Arabidopsis thaliana: one gene and its partner. The protein of the gene in region 1 purifies or fractionates together with the protein of each later gene. This does not show direct contact. Each region holds a gene or a part of one and is shown on either strand. Other genes may lie near its edges.

Region 1 (4,941 bases):
TCGGTGTCGGTGGAACATTGAGTTCTCCCCCAGAATCTTCCTCCCCATGAAGTTGGAGCGCTGATTGTTCGTTCTTCGCCTTTTTGGAGAACGAATCCGGTCGTCGGAAGTGGTGGAACTCCGGCGTTTGATAAAAGTCCAGGCCAGACTGTGTATTCGCATTTGTTCACCATAATGAAGCTCGTTGATCTAACTCCTGTTTATAAAACCATAAAATCATCAGAATCACAGTATTATTAATCATAACTAAAGTTGATCTATAGGAGAAGATTCGTACCAGAAACGAACAAATGAGAGAAGATAAGGAAGATCAATGGCAACGGAAGAGCCATTGAATTGGAGAAGAAGAAGATTTAAGGACTTTAATTGCTCTGTTTTCTTCTTCTTCTTTATTAGTTTTATTTATGAAACAGAGACTTAAAAGAGGATTCTGAGAGCGAAAGAGAGATGAAGAAGAAGATGTGTGCTTTATAGTAGAAGCTTTTTTCCTCTGTTGGTGAGAATCTGGTGTATGTGTTGGTTGGTAGCTTATGGTACGCCTGCTTACGTGGACACATCTAATTGGTTATTTTTTTTAACCGTTGAGATTAAGAAAAGCACCTGATGATTTTATATAGTAAATTTTGTTGTTTAATCGGTTCATAGTTCATAATTAGCACTATACGATAATGGGTTAGTCTGGTTTTTAAATAGTTAAATTACCACTAATTGTTGTCCGAGTTTGATTGATAACATTTTAACGAAAATATCCAATTACCTTTTGACGTTCACTTTTAATTAAAAATATCTACAAAACGTAAAGTAGATCTTTATTTTTCAAGATTCTTTAACTTTACTGTTTAGTTACGTGATTAGGATTTGTAACCACGTAGACGTGTAAAACAAAATTACTTTTTTATCTGTGATTTATAGGAATTTGAGATTTGAATGCAACGTTGTTGTTTCATCTAACAATAAGTGATGAAGAACTTCAAAAGTCTAAAACCATATCATTTATAAAATCATCATTTCATTTTCAGAACAACTAGGTACGATTAGTGGACGTTTCAACGTCTTTCATGATAATCGCGGGCCATGTAAATTATTATATTTGAGGAATGAGGATCCATATAATATCTTGGCTATATAAAAATTATTTATTTGTTCAATATAATATCTTTGCGTTTTATTGATCAATTGCAAGTTTGCAACGATATACACCAGGAAAAAAAAGGAGAAACAAAATTCATTTTGCTTATACGTATGTACTATGTACATTTCTGTATACTCAAAGTTGTTAGATATTTTGTTGTGGAAAGTGATAATGTTGTTACTTTTTACTGTTTTTTAGGTGGTGTGAACTGTGAAAGTTTGAAAGATACAAAAGTGATGAATAATTTTTCAATAATTGTTTTGCGTTGTATTATTTTTTGTAGGAGTAATAGCGACCATCTTTGTAATATTGTGTAGACAGACAGGTCACATCCACTTTACAATATATCGTAAGCAATTGCCATCGTCCTCCCTCACGTTTTTTTTTTCGTCCGTCACATTACAATAAGATATTTAATGGGCCTTTATGCATGGTTTAGTATAATGAATAAGCCCAGCAAATTTTAACAAAAGCACAAATGTGCTGCCCATAAATTAGGTTGGAAATGCAGATTGCATGAACTTTTCGATCATATTCAAAAAACATAGCACAAAACAAACGTTAACTCCAAACAGAGTAACAATAGTTGTCGTCTAATTAATATATTGTTCCAAAGAAAAATATGTAGCTACGTCTTGCCTCTAACACCTCTTTTTCACATCACAAGCATCTTAAAATTTCTTAAATCACTCTTTTCGCGATGAGACATGTCTTTGTCGAGGTGTTGGTTCTGATCTCTTTGGTCATCTTGGAGTTGAGCTATGCGTTTGCACCAATCTCATCGTATCAATGGGTCGTCTCGTATTCTCAACGTTTCATTCTTGGAGGCAACAAGCAGGTAACCATTTTCATTTGAATATGTTTTTATTTGTTACAATAATATGGTTTTAGCTATCTTATATGAAATTTCAGATGCATGATCAATCTATAGGTTATAGTATTCACCAAAAAAAAAATCTATAGGTTATAGTGATCAACGACATGTTCCCTGGACCGATCCTTAATGCAACAGCAAACGATATCATTGTCGTTAACATTTTCAACAATTTGCCCGAACCCTTCCTCATGACTTGGTATATATTTTCAACTTTTTGTTTTGGGTTAATTTTAGGAATAATTGTTATTAAACCTCTATGTAAATTAAAGGAATGGATTGCAATTGCGGAAGAACTCGTGGCAAGATGGAGTTCGAGGGACAAACTGTCCCATACTACCGGGGACAAATTGGACGTACCGTTTTCAGGTGAAGGATCAAATTGGAAGTTACTTTTATTTTCCGACCCTTCTACTTCAGAAAGCTGCCGGAGGATACGGTGCTATTAGAATCTATCCCCCAGAACTTGTCCCAGTCCCATTCCCTAAGCCCGACGAAGAATACGACATCTTGATTGGAGATTGGTTTTATCTCGACCATACAGTATGTTTCTTTGATAAATTACCGTATTATCATCAAACCTACATTCCAATACTATCCTTTTTATATATAAAAAAACTAATTTTGTAGATCATAATCATTTTGGTTATTGAGTTTTATCTTGCCCATTTATTGAATGTGTTATTAGTTTCATTGTAAAAGATGTTTTGCTTGATTTGCATAATTAACACTTGGTTTCCAAATTTTGGTGTAAGGTTATGAGAGCTTCACTTGACGCTGGTCACAGTTTGCCAAATCCTGATGGTATTCTTTTTAACGGGCGTGGCCCTGAAGAGACCTTCTTTGCATTTGAACCAGGTGAGTTTTTTTCTTCTTTTAAAAATATTACATTATATCTTTAATAATGTAGTTTACACACAAATGTTCTTTTTATGTTGTCTATATATAATCACAGGCAAAACATATAGGCTAAGAATATCAAACGTGGGTCTCAAAACATGCTTAAACTTCAGAATCCAAGACCACGATATGCTTCTAGTTGAGACAGAGGGTACGTATGTTCAAAAACGTGTTTACTCGAGCCTGGACATCCACGTAGGCCAATCATACTCTATTCTTGTCACTGCCAAAACCGACCCGGTTGGAATTTACCGGTCTTACTACATATTCGCCACAGCTCGGTTCACTGATTCCTACCTTGGCGGTATAGCTTTAATTCGATATCCCGGTTCCCCACTTGACCCAGTCGGACAAGGTCCACTCGCACCTGCTTTGCAAGATTTTGGTTCCTCAGTTGAACAAGCCCTTTCCATTAGGTAAAGAAATACTCTTTTTTTATACCAAAGAATAAAAACTTTTATATGAAATATTTCGTTTAGTATTTGTTCTTGACTAATAAACGTTAAGTGTACGACACAGAATGGACCTGAACGTTGGAGCAGCAAGATCGAACCCTCAAGGTTCGTACCACTATGGACGAATAAACGTAACCAGAACGATAATATTACATAACGACGTTATGTTATCGTCGGGCAAACTACGGTATACGATTAACGGCGTTTCGTTTGTCTACCCCGAGACTCCGTTAAAGCTCGTTGATCATTTTCAGCTAAATGACACGATAATCCCTGGCATGTTCCCGGTTTATCCATCCAACAAAACACCGACTCTTGGAACTTCAGTGGTCGATATTCATTACAAAGATTTCATCCACATCGTGTTCCAGAACCCTCTATTTGGATTGGAGAGTTATCACATCGATGGTTACAATTTCTTCGTTGTCGGGTAAAAATTACAATATTTAAATCATAATTATGTGTATGATGATTAAATTAGGTGTACTAATTTTATTTGAGTTTAATGTTAGATATGGATTTGGAGCTTGGTCTGAAAGCAAAAAAGCTGGATATAACTTAGTAGATGCTGTTTCACGGTCAACAGTTCAGGTTAAGCCATATCTAATCTCGTAATTTAAAGTATTAAACCAGTGATTAGTTTTGGTTAATTGATTCTGTGTGTGTTTAGGTTTATCCATATTCGTGGACAGCAATATTGATAGCTATGGATAATCAAGGAATGTGGAACGTGAGATCACAGAAAGCAGAGCAATGGTATCTTGGTCAAGAGCTTTATATGAGAGTTAAAGGTGAAGGAGAAGAAGATCCTTCGACTATTCCGGTTAGAGATGAAAATCCGATACCGGGAAATGTCATCCGTTGTGGCAAAGTTCGATAATAATTAATTGTCTGAAATAATAAAACCTAGAAAAGTCTATTTTAATTAGCAAAACTAAAGAACGGTTTAAAGGAATGATCAGAGAGTATTAGGATCTGTGTTGATCTTAGGGTTTGTGGTTTGATTGCGATTCGAATCACTTGTGTAATTGCAGAAGACGGATGGTAATTTAAAGAGATGATCTTAGGGTTTGTGGTTTGATTGCGACTAAAGACTACTAGACGATGCCGTTTTAGATTTTAATGGGCTCACACAGTTGTTATCTGCAAACCGGCCCAGGTCTGTTTTGACTTGGTGAGTGCTAACGTGCTCTATAAGAAGATATTGTAGCCACATACGAACAGCTAACGTGCTCCCATTTCCTCTATGTTCCCTTGAGTGACATACGTTTTCACAATAAGTTGGGAGCAAGTAATTTACCAAGAACAAATATATATTTTAAAAAATATAGGATCCTTTTACAAGTTCAATTATTGATTTTGACGTTACGTATAAACAGTAGATCGACCATGACATAAATAAAAATGAAAAAATAATTGGATCAAATCTCAGATCTTACTACAGTCTACATCTACCTAGCTACATGTGCTATGGCATTATTTGTTTTTCATGTTATCATCAATATTGTATAAAAGATCCAAACACAATCAGTGTGATGATATTTTTCTATACTTTTGATCATTCAACCGATTTCAATTAT
Region 2 (4,281 bases), 220 kb from region 1:
AAGAAGAAGATACATAGGTCGTGAGTTCTATAATTTTGGCCTCATCTATGAATTTTATAACAATGAGAATCTTCTCTTTTTCTGTTTTTTAGAAATTTTCTTTTCACATGTTTTTCTTTTTGGTACAGAAGTTGGAAGGTGACAGATCTACAGTAGACTCAAATCATATGGTTACAATTTTGGACATATTTCACATCAAACATTTTAAAAAGTTCAACTTTGATCATAACGCTTGCGTATTCATATAATTTGTCATATATATCTATAAAAAAATTCTAAAATCATTGTTATATCTACCGTTACAATATATCAAAAAATTAAAATATTGATACGGATAAGTTAATCTGCCAAAAATAATTCTGTTAATTAACATTTTATTCATGATTATATAAAAAGGTACTATAATGGCTGCATTATACGTTTACAATGTTTGCATTATTATTATTTTGTTTTCTTGTATTAAAATGTTAATTATAGTGTTTTGTATTTGGCTATCTAAGTTAGTACAGCAGAATTGTTTGTGTTAAGCTTAAATGTAAAAAAGACAGAAGCATAAACTAGAAGCAACAGAAGCTGATTACAAGTACGATCCGGGTAAAAGACAAACAAAATAAAATAAAAAGACTAAAAAAAAAAGGCAAACCAAAATTAAAAACATTAACTAAGCAAACAAAAGATCCATTGATTGATCCAAAGATCGTACAAACTACAAAAACCTAGAAGAAGGAAAACATTAAATAAACAACAACAACAAAAGTAGATTAAAAGAAAATCTCTTACATAATCTCTCAATTAATCATATGATCACTGATTAGAGAGTAGTTGTTGGTGTTGGTGGTTTCTTAGCATTGTTCTTGTTGTTATGCATCCAAACTTTGAAGACTTGTCTCTTCACTCCGATCTCGCCGCAGAATCTCTTAAGCTCTTCTTCGTCTTGCTTGTTCATCCTCCACCCTAGCTTCTCCGCAAAGTCCATCATCCTCTCCTTCTGATCCGTCGTGAACTTTGTCCTGAATCTTTTCTTAGACGACGACATCGAAAACGCCATTTGTCCCGCCGCCGCACCAGCTCCTTCTCCGCTTGATTGTCCGTACAGATTCAGATCTTCACTAGACGACTCAGCTCCTCCTCCTCCACCGCCGTAAGCAACGCTCATCGGCGTCACCATTCCTCCTCCTCCGGGAGGACTCATTCCATACTTGTGGTGGTGAATCGGCTGATAATTCGGTGGCGGAGGAAGCATGAGTGGGTTAAGCATCATATTCGGCGGCGGAGGTCTTCTCCCTCCTCCTCCACCGTATTGGTTATGGTGGTAGTGGTGATGACGGTGGTGAGAGATCAAATCCGAGCTTCCAACGCCGTCCATTTCTTTCCGGTGGAAATTACGGTGACAATCACAAGCAGCGCATCTGAGAGCTTCGATTGTTCCTTCTTCACCACTCGGCATAAACTCGCCGCATCCGTCGTGAACACTTCCGCCGACGCTCGCCGCATGATTCTTTAGACACTCACGGTATCTTACGGTGGGTTTAGCTGCGGCGGAGATGGAAAACGAAGAGGGAGACTTGGATTGGTGGTGATCTAGGGTTTGAGAGTTGCAAGAGACACGAGTGTTGTTGTTATTACCATTGCAATTATCATCAATATTAGTACTAATGATGTTACTAATAACAACACCACCATTGTTGTTGCCATTGTCTTCTCTTCTTCTCTCTATCATTTCATGGCTTCTCATATCCATTTTTTTTCTTGGAGATTAATAAATTAAAACCCAAAAGGATCTTAATTAAAAGAGATCAACAAAATAAAAAAGACTTTTTCTTCAATGAAGTTTATGCCTGAAAAAGAACATGATAATGAGATTACTAATAAGGCAAAAAAGAAAACTAAATGGCAGTGAGAATCAGAGACTTACAGAGGAGATAAGATGAACAAGTACACGAGGAAAAACCCAGTTTTTGCAGGACCTTAAACTCATTTAAAGCTCAAAGCTTTTTGCTTGTGAAGGGTTTTAATGGAGAGAGAGAGAGAATAGAAGAGATTTGAGGAACTTTTGGGATTAAACTAAAAGGAGGTTTTTAGGGCTAAATTGGTTTTTTTAAGAGTGAAAGAAAGAAGAAACCATGTTTGATGTCTCAGTGCTCCCAACAAGCCAACCTTTGAGATCGGATTATAAGAGACAATTTGGTTGCTTGTGGTGAGGCCATGAGAGAAAGAGATAAGAGCTGAGCCCTTTGTGAGAGATGACACTAATGTCATACCCTACTACTATATACTTATACTTATTAAGTACTTCTTTATTATACTTCTTCCATTAATCTGTATTTATCATTTTAGTATTATATTTTTAAATGCGCTTTTATAACCTTTTTATATATATTTATGAGGGCTTCTATATTTTTAATGAGAAGAGAATTTCTGAATTACTATTTCGATTATTTGTGTGTGTTTACAAGAGATTTATCCTATAATATTGTTACTTTATAGTACTTTAGAGCAGAATGTGATTTGTAGTTTATTTACTGACCCTTTTACTATCAAACTTAATCATAAAGACAGATTAAAATGAAAAAGAAAATATACAGAAAAATAATAATATGGGAAACTATTATTTTGTGGTTTTTGGCTAATTAATTATTATTTTTACTCTATAGTTAACAGGAATAATTGTAATTTTTTTAAGATATGTGGAAATTTGTCACAGTTTTTTGGAAACAGATGTACTTCTGGCTATATTGAGTTCAATCTTCAAGTTAATGCGAGTCCGATAGAGTGTCCTCCTGATTATATATGTCTTTTTTTTCTATATGAGAGTATCCAAAAAGTTTTAGTAGTTCTTAACATTGCATAATTAATATTCGTTGAATCAAATGATTTATTTTTGTATGAATTGATTGGTCTAGTACTACTCTAAACACATAGTGGTTGAATAGTAACTTGAAGCACAAAATTTCGTAATATGTGTAACTCGCATGAAACTGATGCAATAATTGACATTCTATCTCGGGTTTTTATGAGCTCATTTTTACTGTGTACAGTACGTCATTAACGCGTTTACTATAAATAAATTTGCAAAAATATAGTACTACTTGAAAATTGGAGAAAAATTATACAACAAAAAAGCTGGATAATGCACCGAAATGGGCTTAGACTGTTGCTTGTATGTTCAAATAGTTAATCTCTTGTAAGCATACTATATTAAACAATTTTAATAGTCAACCTAATATTAATTTAACTAAAACATTGTAATTTGTGCCAAATGGATCATATGTAGTAACTTGATGGTATCGGATAATCTTATTACGTAATCTTTGTTTCTGTATTTTACTATTTTTCTATATAGATTGTGTTTTTGTCACTATATACCTTGAAACTGTTGGATAATACTCTTATCTGTAGACATAATTTAGCACAAACAAAGTAACTACATGATTTGAATTAGCTAAATTTCCTTAATTAAGATGAAATAATGAGATATATTCATTTTAAAATGAAAGAAAAAAGAGAGAGAGAGGTGTGTGGGTTGCAGAGAAGGGCAGTGCAGAGAACAACCGACAAGGTCAAGTTGGAAGCCCAGCCACATGCCCTGCCACATTATGGGCCCCCTTCTCTCTCTCTCTTCCCTCCTTCTTCATTATTACATCCCTCTCTCTCGCTCCTTAATCTTTTTTTTTCAAACCCTAATTTGTCCAAACACCATTTCTTCTTACTCATGTCTTTTCTTCTTTCCTATTTCACTCTACCCCTTTTTACTTTTCCTTTTAATATACTATATAAAATTACTTGTTATTATTAAAATGTTTTTACAAGTATAATACAACTTGTATAGTCTTCATCAAGATTAATAATACTCAAGAAAGCCATATTTTGTGGACCATGTCGTCCTAGCATGGAGATGTTTTCCTATTGAAAGCTTAATCACAGGCTCTACTGTAATGATATCTCATCAGTACGTTCATCAATATACGACTAATAGTCTAATTAGTTTCACAAATTATCTATGCGTACGTACGTGTGAATAATTAGACATGCAGATTAGTTCATTTCATTAATTAATGCTTGTTCTAATTGGCTCTACATTCATATTAGTTACTTTGAGAAGATGGAAAATACAAGAATATATATCACAACGTCAAATGCAATAATCCATGCGTTTGAATAAATGTTAAAGATGGTCGCAAAACAAAACAATCTTCAGATTAATTTTAGTTTTGATAAGAACAACAAAAAAAGTAATCGTCATAGCCTCTGCAGAATTTCCCATGGACAACCTGTCACACG

Evidence for each region. Proteins that work in one complex are often made in the same cells at the same time.
Region 2: the proteins of sks18 (region 1) and HB33 fractionate together in Arabidopsis thaliana (co-fractionation; one large-scale study listed by BioGRID). This does not show direct contact.

Annotation. Positions count from the first base shown.
Region 1 is NC_003070.9:28,454,280-28,459,220, reverse strand, and holds sks18 (SKU5 similar 18), read left to right. Parts: upstream 1-1,692; 5' UTR 1,693-1,832; coding exon 1,833-1,970; intron 1,971-2,095; coding exon 2,096-2,205; intron 2,206-2,278; coding exon 2,279-2,549; intron 2,550-2,761; coding exon 2,762-2,864; intron 2,865-2,961; coding exon 2,962-3,322; intron 3,323-3,425; coding exon 3,426-3,791; intron 3,792-3,873; coding exon 3,874-3,952; intron 3,953-4,031; coding exon 4,032-4,241; 3' UTR 4,242-4,440; downstream 4,441-4,941. Other genes in the region: AT1G75800 (Pathogenesis-related thaumatin superfamily protein), read right to left, coding at 1-196, 278-332.
Region 2 is NC_003070.9:28,239,036-28,243,316, reverse strand, and holds HB33 (homeobox protein 33), read right to left. Parts: upstream 2,307-4,281; 5' UTR 1,916-2,306; intron 1,839-1,915; 5' UTR 1,742-1,838; coding exon 812-1,741; 3' UTR 522-811; downstream 1-521. UniProt on the Arabidopsis thaliana protein: Putative transcription factor. Binds DNA at 5'-ATTA-3' consensus promoter regions. Regulates floral architecture and leaf development. Regulators in the abscisic acid (ABA) signal pathway that confers sensitivity to ABA in an ARF2-dependent manner.